Cricetulus griseus: one gene and its partners. The main gene of each other region encodes a partner of the protein of the gene in region 3 in a complex. Links are inferred from orthologs where the notes say so. Each region holds a gene or a part of one and is shown on either strand. Other genes may lie near its edges.

Region 1 (3,518 bases), on a different chromosome or scaffold from region 3:
AAGCCAGTCTGCTTTTATTATTATTATTATTATTATTATTATTTTCAAGATGGTTTCCTGGAACTCACTTTGTAGACCAGGCTGACCCTACACTCAGAGTTCTGTCTGCCTCTGGCTCTGCCTCCCCAGAGCTGAGATTAAAAGTGTGTGCTGTCCTACCCTGTGCCAGTCCCCTTTTTAAAGCTTTTTTTTTTTTTTGCTTACTCTGTAGAGTGTCATAGGACTCATGGTCAACTCAATGCCAGTGCAAAGCTCCTCTCACGGAGAGACTAAGTTCTCCTCACTCACCACCTTTATCCTCACAGGGTGGCAGAGTTGCACTGGTGTGCTTCCTAGTGCCTCAGCCTGAGGAGAGGGGCTCCCTCATGTCCCAAAGCTGCCAGGCTGCCAGGCCTCTTATGTGTATCATACACAGCACACGAAGCTGGGTGACCTAAAATTACTAAAGGGACTCTCCAAGTGTTTGGGGAACAAACTATGTAAACTGGAATATCCTTTTCCCTCTTAGGAGGAACTAAGGCAGTGCCTGTGGATTCTCAACAGTGAAAGAATGGGAACTAGGATTCTCATGTTTTGTGGCAAAAAACACATGTGTGAAAGGACCCACGTCTGGATTCAGAGAGTTGCATCCAGCTACCTGCTCTGGCATCCTGTGCTTGCTCTTTGAGACTAAATATCATTGTGTAGCCCAGGCTGATCTCAAACTCAAGATCCTCCTGCCTCATCCTCCCTAGTTCAGGGGTTATAGGCATCTGCCACCATTCCCAGGCCAGCCAGAGCTACATAAGGAGACCCTGTCTAAAACAAACAAAGAATCCTTGACTTTTGATTAGTATTTACAGAGCACTTTGGAACAGCCAACATATTTGTATAGTTACACTTTGTGAGAAAATTAGGCAAAAACTCTCAACAAGTAAAAACTTGATGATTTTTTTGTTTTGTTTTGAGACAGGGTTTCTCTGTGGGTTTGGAGGCTGTCCTGGAACTAGCTCTTGTAGACCAGGCTGGTCTCAAACTCACAGAGATCCGCCTGCCTCTGCCTCCTGAGTGCTGGGGTTAAAGGCCTGTGCCACCACCTCCCGGCTGGTGATTTCTTAATGAAGGGTTTGCTTGGACTTAGAAAGGTTGCTTCTGGGACTAGAGAGTCCACATGGTGGTTCACAACACTGTAACTCCAGTTCCAGGGGATCCATGTCCCCTTCTGGCTTCTGGAGGCACTAGGTATGCATGTGATGCACATACATTGATACAGGCAAAACACCCATTTTATAAAATAAAATATAAAAATACTGAAAAAGAAGGAAGTGACCCTTTGTGGTAGAGGAGGTGGGGTAGCATCTCTAGTAACACCAACTTCTTTATATGTAAATGCATGGTTTATGTTCTGTGCCGTATACATGAACAGTTGGTTTTGTTGTGTTACAGGGAAGAAATTGTTTCCCTCAGGGACAGAGACATCCAAACCATGTGCTCCTTTTTATCCATGAAACCTGGAGAATACTCCTATTTCAGTCCCCGGACCATGAAGATGTGGGCTGGCCCAGATCACTGGTTCTTTCGGCCTCGACCCAAGCGTAAGTACTTGTGGATGGGACTGTAAGACAATGCCATGCAGCACATACTGCCTGCCAGTCTTCAGTCAGCAGGGAAAAGAGACACTGCTGATCTCTGTCCTTCTCATCTTCTGAGGAGGTGCTGAAGCAGAGGGGCTGAGCCAGCCTCCTGGCTGCGCAGTGGTCAGCCACAGGAGGGTCAGTTAATGTTGAGTGGCAAGAGTAAGCCTCTGAGTCTGGGGGACAGGCCTCATGACCTCACTCTGCTTCCTAGTACCCGTACGACTTCAGTTGTGTAAGTGGCACAGGGGAAGTCCCCTATAGTCTTCCAGGCTCCGTAAGGAAAAGTGGAGTATACACTGACGCCTGTGTCTAACATAGCACACATGCTGCACTTAGCTGGACCCGGGATATGTGATTTTACCGTATTCCACCACTGTAGTGATGCTCAGCCACACATGCAGTCTTGTGCTTGACAAGGCCTTTAGTGGATGTGAGATGAGAATAATGTTGGCACAGAGGTGAATAATGTTATAAACTGTCTTTACTTCTGCAGAAGATACTGCCTCCCACGTGGAGAACAAAAAGAAGAGTTCAAAGAAAGACTTTGAAATTAATTTTGATGATGATATTGATTTTGATGCATATTTTCGGAAAACAAAGGTTTGTGCCAGACATTAGTGCCTTCTGAGATTACTCTGCTCTCCTCTTGCCCTTTCTGACAGGGTTTTCTTTTCCTTCCTTCCTTCCTTCCTTCCTTCCTTCCTTCCTTTCTTTCTTTCTTTCTTTCTTTCTTTTTTTAAGACAGGGTTTCTCTGTAGGTTTGGAGTCTGTCCTGGAACCGTCTTTGAAGACCAGTCTAGCCTCAAACTCAGAGATCCACCTGCCTCTGCCTCCCGGGAGTGCTGGGATTAAAGGTGTGTGCCGCCACCACCACACAGCAAAACTCATCGGCTGACGGACACCTTGGTGTCCATTGGATCGGCGCCGAAGTGCCTGACAGGGTTTTCAAAAACCACTGTACAGCCTGGTGCAACATCCCGCCTTTAATCCCAGCACTCGGGAGGCAGAGGTTCTCTGAGTTCCAGGCTAGCTGGGGCTACATAGAGAGTCTCCATAACAAAGAAATAAGTGGAAAGTTACGGTGTATTTAATTTTTGTTTTCTAGAGATAGGGTCTCCTGTGGCACAGGCTGCCCTTAAATTTGCTATATAGCTGAGGCTGGTGTTAAACCTCTGGTCCTCCTGCCTTTATCCCCCAGATGTGCCCCGGTACCCAGCTATAACTTTAACTGATAAACACGTACTCTTTTCTCCCTCATCCCTAAGGGACCACTGAGAAATAGTCCCAAAGCCAGTGCCAGGGACAGGCAAGCTCAGCAAGTGAGACAGAGTGACACCGTGTTGTCTAGTCTCATGCCCTTTACAGCCAGGCTAATCATGAACTCATTACAGGATACCTGCCTCAGCCCCCTGAGTGCTGCGATTACAGGCATCTGCTCTCATGCCCAGCACAGTCACTCATCATAGTGACCAGAGAATTGGAAATAGTAGAGTAATGCCAACCCTTCCTAATCACCTTTAAAATGGTATATATCATTGTTATTAAGAAGGCTTTTTGGAGCCCATTCCCTATGGAGGGATACCTTGCTCAGCCTAGATAGATACAGGGGGGAGGGCCTCTGTACTGTCCCAAATGATGTGACAGACTTTGATGATCCACCATGGGAGGCCTCACCCTCTCTGAGGAGTGGATGAGGGGTGGGATGGGGGGGTTGGTGGGAGGATGGCAGAGAGAGGGAACTGGGATTGGCATGTAAAATAAGATTGTTTTTAATTTAAATAAAAAAATGTCCTTTTTTTTTATGAATAGGCTGCCACCACTCTGACCAAGTTCACTTTGGAGAACCAGAATTGGAAAGTCACCACTCTTCCCACAGATTTCCACTATGAAACAGATGCTCTC
Region 2 (3,518 bases), on a different chromosome or scaffold from region 3:
GCCTGACCTTGCCTTATTTTACCATATTTTCTGCCTTAGAATATAGACTTCCTAGACACAGGGTATAATCTGTAAAGTCTTGAAACAGTATCCAGTATATAGTAAGGACCTAGTAAATAGTAGATGAATTACAAGTAGTCAAGTGGCCCAAAATATCTGCCCATGTTTATGTAAATAAGGTCTTTTTTTCCTTAGTTGGTATCTTGTCTTGTGTGAGATATCTAATTAATATTACATAAAAGGAGTTAAGTATAGCAATATTTATTCTGCAATGCTTGAATCTTATGCCACTTTATAAAATATTTTTGTATATGTATTCTTAATCCTAAAACTTTTAAGCTTGATGTGGGGTGGTTATTGTTTTATAGATTTCAGAACTGATTTTTAGCTTTCCTAAGTGATTTCTTTAAATTTATTCCATTTTGCCTGGATTTTATTGTCCCATATGGAAAGAAAATGTCATATTATATAGGTGTCACATACCCAAAACAGCAAGTTACAACATGAGAATTTAAAGTAATAACAGTTAAATTACTTCTTTTATTATGCCCTCTCAAAATGCTATGAACTTTAATAACAATGTAAGTTGAAATTTTCTTCTAAAATCTCTTTTCACTTTGATATTCTTCCCCAAGGACTCTAAAACATTAGCAGCAAAGGAAAAGGAAGTTAAAAAGATAACAGACGGGCTGCACAGCCTTCAAGAAGCAAGTCATAAAGATGCTGAAGCTTTGGCCGCTGCACAACAGCACTTCAATGCTGTTTCTGCTGGCTTGTCCAGCAATGAAGATGGAGCAGAAGCAACTCTGGCTGGGCAAATGATAACCTGTAAAAATGATATAAGTAAAGCTCAGACCGAGGCCAAGCAGGTATGCACAGACAGTAAGCATGGGGTGGGAACTACTGCAGTTCGTGAGAAGCAACTTTTCACATTATGCTTTGCGTTGCTACAAAATCTTGAAAATAATTAGTTGAATGTCAAGGATTTTTAAAAATATCGCTAATCTCTAATGTGGAAAAATCTCAGTGCATTCATTGTTAAATATTGGTAACCTTCGATTGTCAAGAGCTGTATGCTATTTGTAGCACTGCTTGGAAGTATGCATGCATGCTTTTTCGTTAAGTGAAAGAGCCACCTTTAACATATTTACATGAAAACATTTATATGCTTTATTAATTAATCCTGATCAATTTAAGACATTTGAATTTACAAATATTTGTATTTTTTCATTCAGAAGTGACAGGCATAGAGTTTGTAAGAACTCAGTACTATTAAAGCTTTGAATTAATTTTTAATAAACATACCCTGAAGGACTTAGTAAAAGCTGATCTGTCATCATTGAGTTATAGACTGAGAATATTATAATTCTAAGGCCTGAGAATATATTCAGTTATACACCCTGAGAATAAAAGTATGCCATTAAAAAGCAGTGTTCACTTGTAGAAATTCATAGGGGTCAAAAGTAGTCACCATTGAATATCAGACTTTTGGCACTAAATTTCTGTCAGTGTACCTTCCCTTTTATGTATTGTTTTACACAGCTGTTTGCTGTTGACAGATACAATTCATAGAGATATGCAAATAAGGTTAGAAACACTCAAGTTGAAGACAACAAAATAGTGATATGTAACTGTCGGGTGTATTTTTAAATAGCTACTGAGAGTTATTCTCATGAAATTTCCCAACTTTGTTAATATGTCATACTGTATTAATACTAAGAATAGACATGTTCTAAATTAGTCATTTATGTTAATATTTTTAAGACATGAATACAGAGAAATTAACTTTTTTGAGTATTAATCCAGGAGACTACACAGTTCTATTTTCAGTTCTGATGTTTCCTTGTTAAATTGATTTGAATCTGTAGCTGTTTCATCACTAACATTGCCCACCTCATAGTCTGTTACACTTTCTGTCACAGGCACAGATGAAGCTGAAACATGCCCAACAAGAGCTAAAGAGTAAGCAAGCAGAAGTTAGGAAGATGGATAGTGGCTACAAGAAGGATCAAGAAGCTTTTGAAACTGTGAAAAAAGCTAAGGAAAAACTTGAAACCGAAATGAAGAAACTAAATTATGAAGGTTTGTCTTAAGTGTCTTTAAAGTCAAATCATGAGGAGGTTTTATGCATAGAAACTTTTTTTTTAACCTATTTGTAAACATTAGAGAAGTGTTTGGTCATAAATACAGTCAAAATTGTCTAAATTAGTCTAGTAAATTTTTGATACTTTCTTACTTTATCACTTGAAAGCTTAAAACTAGTGTTTATCTATGTTCACGTTAGTAGGTATTCAGTTCATATGTTGTTTCTTGCATTGAAAATTGTATGATTTTGATGTTAGAAACATGACCATTTGATACTTGGGAGATTTACATTTTGCTCCTTGTAATACTTGAGAAAGAGAGGCAGAGGCTCTGCTTCCCTTAAGTGGTCACATGTTTAAGACCTGCTTTCGAGCTCCTTCTGATTTACTTCTCAGAAAACAAAGAGGAGAAACTTCTGGATAAGCACAGGCAGCTCTCACGTGACATTGGTAATCTGAAAGGAACTTACGAAGCTCTCTTGGCCAGATTTCCCAATCTTCGGTTTGCATACAAGTAAGAGATTTAAGCAGTAAATAACCAACACACATTTTTGCTTGCACTGGAAGGCAATCTGGAAATTTTTCACAAGATTTTTAAGTTACATTTCTTTATTTTGTATTTTTTTCCTCAAATATTAATTAAAGTATATCAAATGTTGGATGTGTGTGTGGGGATTCTTTTGAAAATAACAGTGACTGGTATCACTCATCTTAAACCAAATAGGGTGATTTAGTCTCCCTCTGTTCAAACTGCCTTCACAGTTATTCTGTCATTACTGTTGCATTCTTTGATTTGATTTACTGCATGGGATTTTTATGACATCCGCTTTTCATCTTTTTTCAATGGCAGCATTGAACATTGAATTCTGGATGTCAGGCGTAAGAGGGAACCACCCCTGAGCTCTAACCTTTGTTACAGCATTATTTATTTATTTATTTATTCGTTTATTTATTTATTTATTGGTTTTTTGAGACAGGGTTTCTCTGTATAGCTTTGGAGCCTATCCTGGCACTCGCTCTGGAGACCAGGCTGGCCTCGGACTCACAGAGATCCGCCTGCCTCTGCTTCCCTAGTGCCGGGATTAAAGGCGTGCGCCACCAACACCCGGCTGTTACAGCATTCTTAACCATAATCATGTAGTAGAGAAATTGGAACACCAACGTTGTTTGCTGAACATTGGCTAAAAGGGACTGGAGAGATGGCTTGCTTTTAAGGGAGCAACACACTGCTTGTTCAGAGGACCCGATTTCAGTTTTCATTCCCCACATCATGGGCCTTATCTCCTACCTTTAGGGACCCAACACCCTCTTCTGGCCACCACAGAAATTGCATTCATATGCATCTACCCCCACAAAGATATGTGTATGCACATAATTGTAGATTAAACAATAAATCTGTTTTAACTTAGTGAAATATTTTACTTTTCAAAAAGT
Region 3 (3,518 bases):
ATGCAGGTTCTAGGGATTAAACTCAAAGTCATTAAGGTCTGTGGTGAGTATGTTTCCTGTTGAGCTATCTGGCTAGCCCAGGTTTGTGATTTGAAAGCTTTAAAAAGATCCACGTTCGAGGCCAGCCTGGTCTCCAGAGCCAGTATCAGGATAGGCTCCAAAGCTACACAGAGAAACCCTGTCTAAAAAAAAAAAAAACAAAAAACAAAAAAAACAAAACAGAACAAAACAACAACGAAAAGATCCACATTCTTTGAAGACTACAGGAAAAGCTTGATGTTTGGGACCCAGTGTCCTAGTAGGTACTGCTCAGCTTTTTAAGCATAAGGCGAAGCCCTTTTCTTTAGGGTACTATGTGTAGAGACTGCATGGAATCATGAGGTAGGATCCCTTCAAAGGCTTCATTGACACTCTTCTGGGTGCTGAATTGGTGACAGGCTGGTATTTTTCTAGGCAGGCTATTATTCTCACTCGAGAAGCCACCGGCCACTTCCAAGAGTCTGAACCCTTCAGTCACACAGACCTAGAAGAGACCAGCTTCCTGAATCTCCTGGGAATTATCTTCAAAGGTAACCCTTTCAGTTAGCAAGCACAGCCTCGGGCTGGAGGAGGCAGGGGAGGAGGGGCTGGTGCTGCTCTGGAACGGCAGTGGCCTGGTTGTAGGGAACCTTTGCAAACTAGAGGGGCCTCCAGGAATCCATTAAGAAATGAACCAAAGTGTGTTAGAGTAGGTTCTAAGTTCATATGTTTACATTGTGGAAAGAAATACACAGGGATGCTGGCACCCACTGGATCCCCCAGGTACACCTGACAAAACTTCTTGTACCTCTCTAATTCCTAGGCCCTGCAGCTTCCACACAGGAGTCTCATGGGGACACAGTCCCAGCGCCAACTGACAGTAAAGACACTCCCAGTGTGTCTGAGCCTGAGGTACCCCAGAGGGGCGATGAGCTGGTGAAGCAGGAGATGCTGGTGCAGTATCTGCAGGATGCCTGCAGCTTCTCCCAGAAGATCACAGAAGCCATCAGCATCATCAGCAAGATGATGTATGAAAACACAACCACAGGTAGGGGGCGCTCTTGAGAAAGGACTGGCTGTAAGATTTCGTTTACTTTTATGTGTGTGAGTGTTGTTCCTGTGTATATGTGCACCACATGTAGTTTGGTGCCTGTAGAGAGCAGAAGCAGTCAGATCGTCTGGAACTGGAGTTAGGATTTGTTGTGAGCCACCATGCGGGTACTGAGAAACTGAACCTGGGTCCTCTGTCAGAGCAGCCAGTGTTCGTAACCACTGAGCTATCGTCCAGCCCCTGATGCCTGCACCATTAAAAGTCAGGGAGTGTTTACCACTGTTAACATTTTACAGTTTACCTAGTTTAGCCAGTGTCATGTCTCAGGGACAATGACAATGACTTCTACTTTCATATTGCTGTGTTGACAGGGATTCTATCTGTGAGTAGTATAATACTTGTCAGGTAGATGGGTGACATTTGTATTTGTTCTCAGTGGTGCAGGAAGTGATTGAATTCTTTGTGATGGTGTTCCAATTTGGGGTACCCCAGGCTCTGTTTGGGGTTCGCCGCATGCTGCCTCTCATCTGGTCTAAGGAGCCTGGTGTCCGGGAAGCTGTACTGAATGCCTACCGCCAACTCTACCTCAGCCCAAAAGGGGACTCAGCCAGGTATATGGGGTTCCTTGTCTTGGTTAACTTCTCTGAGGTCAGCTTCTCTGGGGATTTCCAAAGTGTCCTGAGGCTATTCTTCCAGGGACTTCTGAACTGCTTGGTACCAAGCCCAGGGTCAGTTTCTGCTGAGGCCTACTTCAAGCAGTTATTTAACCTAACAGCCTGTTTGTCAAGTCAGCTTCCCAGTCATAGTGACCACTGATGTCTACTGTTCCCACAGAGCCACGGCCCAGGCCTTGGTACAGAACCTCTCTTTGTTGTTAGTGGACGCCTCTGTCGGAACCATCCAGTGTCTTGAGGAAATCGTAAGTCCCCCTCTCATTCAGCAGTTAGAATTAGTGGCTGCTTCCTGTGTGCAGAAATCTGTTCAGCCCCACAGAGATTTGAGATTAGTTGCTTTCTGATTCGCAACTTTATATTTATATGCCTGGTGTTTGCTACTTTGAGGCTGTCTTCTCACTGTGTAGTCCCGGCTGGCCTCATGCCCACCATCCTGCCACGGCTTCCTCAGTGTTAAGCTTCAGGTGTGGCATATGTAGTAACCGTAAGCAGTAATAACACATGCTGTTTACTGTGTGCTGGGCGCTATTCTTACCACCACTGGGCACCTCTGGGTAGTTCTTTGTGTATGTAGAATGGGATTCTGTGAGGGAGGCTCAGAGGTTTCACAACTTGCCTGGCTGCAGCACCTTTTTTTTTTTTTTTTTTTTTCTTTCTTTTTTTTTTTTTTTTTTTGGTTTTTCAAGACAGGGTTTCTCTGTGTAGCTTTGGAGCCTGTCCTGGAATTTGCTCTGTTGATCAGGCTGGCCTCGAACTCACAGAGATCCGCCTGCCTCTGCCTCCTGAGTGCTAGGATTAAAGGCGTGCACCACCACCGCCCAGCTTTGACTGTAGCACTTATACAGTACAAGCTCAAGAAAACATATCCAGCCTGTGTGCTGTAACAGAGATCACAGAGCTGCTTACAGTGAAGGTCAGGGGCTTGGTAGTAGGCAACGTGGGTCATGGAAGTTTAGTCAGATTGAGAGAGAGGAGAGAATTTGTGTCAAAAACCAAAGAGAGTCCAGTAGCCTATCTGGAGAATGAAGAAGTTTGTTCTGACTCAAAACCATTATCTTCAGAAGATAATCAAGCTGGGAGCATGAGCCTTCAAGTCAAAGGACCCTAGGTTTTCATGAGGTGAATCTGCGCTGCTGGAGTGGTGCCATCTGCTGGGCCTGGCCTTTGTTCCCTCTGGGGAAAGAGAGGACCTGGGGGTGGCAACTGCCTCAATATTTCCCAGCTGCCTGCTGCTTGTGACTTCTGCAGTAGGCAGAGAAGAGCTGGCCTGCCTTTCCCATGCCAGCCACCTGGAGAACCGTGGGCAGGGTAGAAGTGCTGCTCGAGGCTCCCGTAGGTGTGCAGTGATGAGAGACACACTCAGGGCTGGACCACTAAAACGAATGAATGCACGTGTAAAGAAGAGGGGGTTGCGATTGCTGGGAAATGAAAAGACAAGAAGGATAGTAACCCTGTCATGGACAGGTTGACCAAGAAAAATTATAGAGATACTCAGGTGGTCAGGATGGTGGTCTACAGCAAACTCAGAAGATCCATTGGAATGCTTTACTTTAGGAAGTGTAGCCTTGAAGAAAGACATGGGGTGGAAAAGTAGAGAATGGAGCAAGAAGACCCCCTCAAAATCCTGTTGGACATTTGCACCCCCTTCTCTTCTACTCCATCGAGGTCTCCATGTTGTCTTCAGACAAGTAAACCAGCAGGGAACTGTTATTTTGAAGCAGAATTATTTTTCTTTTCTCCCCAGCTTTGTGAGTTTGTGCAGAAGGATGAGATAA
Region 4 (3,518 bases), on a different chromosome or scaffold from region 3:
TATATATGAAATATATAATTTTTTATAATTTTTGTAGTTAAACAGAGTTAAAATGGTGGAAAAGGAAAAGGATGCCCTAGAAGGAGAGAAAAACATAGCCATTGAGTTCCTTACCCTGGAAAATGAAATATTTAAAAAAAAGAATCATGTCTGTCAATATTACATGTAAGTACTCTGGTCTAAGCATCAAAGCCTTTTTTTTCTGTAATGTGATTTTTCTAAAAGTCACTACTCACTTTTTAGTGTCCTATTTTAAAAGTGGAAAGAAGGAAGGAAGTTATACCATATGAGTAGTAATAGTGCATGTGCTAAGGGATAATATTCAGAACCTGACAGAAATCACAGGCTGTGCCAAACCCTTATGTATGTACTATTTGTGTCCTATAGAAGTGCCACAAAATCAGAGTTAATCAGCTCTTGCAGGATGCAGTTTTTGTTGTTTTCATTATTGGTATAATTGTACAAGGGTAGGTGGGTGCTAACTTCCCCAGGAAGGAAGACAGTTTTCAAGGATCATTCTCTCCTAGTAGGAGGTTCCAGAGATAAAACTCAGGTCATCAAGTGTGTCCTGAAAGCACTTTTACCTTCTGAGCTATCTCCCCAATCCATTGTGGGTTTTTTGGTTTGGTTTGGGGGAATGTGTATGTGTGTGTCTGCCTGCACATGAGCAAGCGTATGCATGTGCGTACACAGAAGCCAGGGCAAAATATGGAGTGTCTTCCTCTACCCATCTCCACCTCATCACCTTACAGGATGTTCCCTAAAACAGAAGTTCCAGCTAGGCAAGCTAGCCATCAGGCATGCTCCCTACCCCACCCCCTAATGTTGATGTTAACAGCACACTTAACCATGGTGCTGCACAGTTTACCTGGGTGCAGGAAATTCATACTCAGATCTTCATTCTTAAAAATCAAATGTTCTTGCTTAATTGAACCATCTCCTCAGCTCCTCCTTACATGTTTTAGGCCCTTTGCATTATTAAGTATAAGGAGAGTTACTTGAACTACTAAGTGAGTATAGGGCTGGTATGTACATGTTGGTATACTGAATGAAAGGAAAGATTAGTAATGCTAGCCAATGTACGTTTTGAAATTGTTTATTTCTATAATTTACCTTTTAATATTTTTAGATGCTAGTCTTCCACAAGTAACTGAAACTTTGAAATGCAAAAACAATGAGATACTACTTACTATACACTGTTGAATGATAGATCTGATTTATTGTTTGGGTTTGGGGGGGTTGTTATTGTTTTTGTTTTGTTTTTTTGTTGTTGTTGTTGTTTTGAGAAAGGGTTTCTCTGTGGCTCTGGAGGCTGTCCTGGAATTAGCTCTTGTAGACAAGGCTGGTCTCAACTCACAGAAATCCACCTTTCTCTGCCTCCAGAGTGCTGGGATTAAAGGTGTGTGCCACCACCGCCCAGCTTAGATCTAATTTATTAACTGGACCAATTTTGTTATTAAATTCTATCTAGCCTTAACCCCACTTCCATAGACCTCACTTTGCTATAAATTGATGAATAAATATGTTATAAGCAGTTGATTTTACTGATGATACTTTGCATTCTCCTTATTTTCTCCTCTAGTTATGATCTACAAAAAAGAATTGCTGAAATGAAAACTCAAAAGGAAAAAATTCATGAAGATACTAAAGAAATCACTGAGAAGAGCAATATGCTTTCAAATGAAATGAAAGCTAAGAATTCAGCTGTGAAGGATATAGAAAAGTAATACTCTTTAGGAATTTTTTTTTTATTCTTTTGTTTTTCTAGACAGGTTTTCTTTGTGACTTTGGAGGCTGTCCTGGAACTACCTCTTGTAGACCAGGCTGGTCTTGAACTCACAGAGATCTGTCTGCCTCTGCCTCCCAAGTGCTGGGACTAAAGGCGTGCGCCACAATCGCCTGGCCTCTTTGAGAAGTTTTAAATTCAGTTTTTCACATGTGTCTACATGTAAACTTAGAGCAAACTTTGAATGTAATACATTTCCCAGCAAATAGTTCATTTAGGCACCAGCACTTCCTATACCTAGCTCACTGTTACAGATTGCCCAACAGTCATACCGTAAGGGATGTCTTTCCCCTAGTGGCACAATATATAAAAAGCTAAAACATAAGCATTTTACCTGACCCATTAGCCCTAATTAGTTTACAAATTTGGTTTTGAAATAGAATTTTGGTTATTTTAGGTAGACTTTAAAAATTATCATGGCCCTATTCTATGCCAACTTTCAGTGACAATAGTATCTTTGAGTGAGCTTCATTTCTTTAATTTTTATGGACAATTTTTTATATACCTAGACATAGTAAAAGAACAGTCTTTCCACCTTAGAAATGAAAGACAGCTCTCATGATTTAAAAAAAAAAAAATTGTCAGCTATCAGGGAAGATCAGTGTAGAAGTTTTAGGATTCTAATTAAAAGGAGTTTTGACATGTTTGTGGAGGAAATATACCAGAAAGTCTATGTGTCTATGACTGATACTTACTTTCTTTGATAGGAAACTCAATAAAGTTATAAAATTTATTGAAGAGAATAAAGAAAAATTTACAAAGCTAGATTTAGAAGATGTTCAACTTAGGGAAAAATTAAAGCATGCTACAAGTAAAGCCAAAAAACTGGAGAAACAACTTCAAAAAGATAAAGAAAAGGTAGGTATTGGGGGAAATCAATTTTTCAAGTCTAAATACCAGATCTAGTTGTTTTCCCTAATTTGCTTGACTCTAGTTCCCTAAGAAGATAAATTGGGATGCTTATAAAAGTATTTTATGTCTTAACACAATTTTGTCCCAAGTTTATGAGTTTCAGAGTTTACATTAGTAATAATGTCCACCCAGTTAGCAATTCTGTTTCTATGGTGGTGATAATTTTCTTTTTCCTAAAATAGTAATGTGTAAAGGGATTTTGGGATATTTTATGTTTTTGTTGTTTTTTATTTTGGAGATAAGCTCTCACTATGTAGCACTTGATGGCCTGGAACGCACTGTATGTATCAGGCTGGCCTCAAACTCACTTAGATCCTCCTGCCTCTCTCTCTCTGCTTGGTTAGTAATGGTGGCTAAAGAGGATGTTTTTTATTAGATATTACAGTTTTTAAACCCCCCCCAAAAAAAATTACTTTTGTGTCTGCATACACATGTGTGCTATTACATGTGTCTGAGGTCAGTGGACAACTTAAGGGAGTTAGTTGGTTTACTCCTTTCACCTTGTGGGTAAATGCCTTTACTCACTGAGCATTCTTAGCAACCCCACAAACTTTAGAGTAATACTTGCCTTCTGCAACAGAGTTAGCAAAAAGAAAAGGCATATAGGTGACAGACTCTCTATTCTGGGGTTAAAGTTTTAAAATTGAATTTTGTGGCCTGGAAAGATGGCTTAGTGATCACTGGCTACCAGTACCCTCGTGTCAGCTCACAGCTGTCTATTAGTCTGGTCTCAAATGACCTCTGCTGACATCTGTAGGCATTGTATGCATGTGGCACACAGACAGACATTCAATAAACACTCATACACATAAAATTAGAA

What was found. Proteins that work in one complex are often made in the same cells at the same time.
Region 1: Ncapd2 (region 3) and Ncaph share a complex: the UniProt entries of both Homo sapiens proteins name them as parts of the condensin complex. The link is inferred for Cricetulus griseus from reciprocal best matches to the Homo sapiens genes NCAPD2 and NCAPH.
Region 2: Ncapd2 (region 3) and Smc2 share a complex: the UniProt entries of both Homo sapiens proteins name them as parts of the condensin complex. The link is inferred for Cricetulus griseus from reciprocal best matches to the Homo sapiens genes NCAPD2 and SMC2.
Region 4: Ncapd2 (region 3) and Smc4 share a complex: the UniProt entries of both Homo sapiens proteins name them as parts of the condensin complex. The link is inferred for Cricetulus griseus from reciprocal best matches to the Homo sapiens genes NCAPD2 and SMC4.

Annotation. Positions count from the first base shown.
Region 1 is NC_048599.1:51,411,585-51,415,102, forward strand, and holds part of Ncaph (condensin complex subunit 2), read left to right. Parts: intron 1-1,425; coding exon 1,426-1,574; intron 1,575-2,109; coding exon 2,110-2,216; intron 2,217-3,425; coding exon 3,426-3,518. UniProt on the Homo sapiens protein: Regulatory subunit of the condensin complex, a complex required for conversion of interphase chromatin into mitotic-like condense chromosomes.
Region 2 is NC_048595.1:91,427,846-91,431,363, reverse strand, and holds part of Smc2 (structural maintenance of chromosomes protein 2), read left to right. Parts: intron 1-635; coding exon 636-869; intron 870-1,922; coding exon 1,923-2,082; intron 2,083-2,480; coding exon 2,481-2,598; intron 2,599-3,518. UniProt on the Homo sapiens protein: Central component of the condensin complex, a complex required for conversion of interphase chromatin into mitotic-like condense chromosomes.
Region 3 is NC_048601.1:21,244,325-21,247,842, forward strand, and holds part of Ncapd2 (condensin complex subunit 1), read left to right. Parts: intron 1-453; coding exon 454-569; intron 570-841; coding exon 842-1,066; intron 1,067-1,505; coding exon 1,506-1,680; intron 1,681-1,903; coding exon 1,904-1,988; intron 1,989-3,487; coding exon 3,488-3,518. UniProt on the Homo sapiens protein: Regulatory subunit of the condensin complex, a complex required for conversion of interphase chromatin into mitotic-like condense chromosomes.
Region 4 is NW_023276806.1:84,122,511-84,126,028, reverse strand, and holds part of Smc4 (structural maintenance of chromosomes protein 4), read left to right. Parts: intron 1-37; coding exon 38-165; intron 166-1,582; coding exon 1,583-1,723; intron 1,724-2,493; coding exon 2,494-2,644; intron 2,645-3,518. UniProt on the Homo sapiens protein: Central component of the condensin complex, a complex required for conversion of interphase chromatin into mitotic-like condense chromosomes.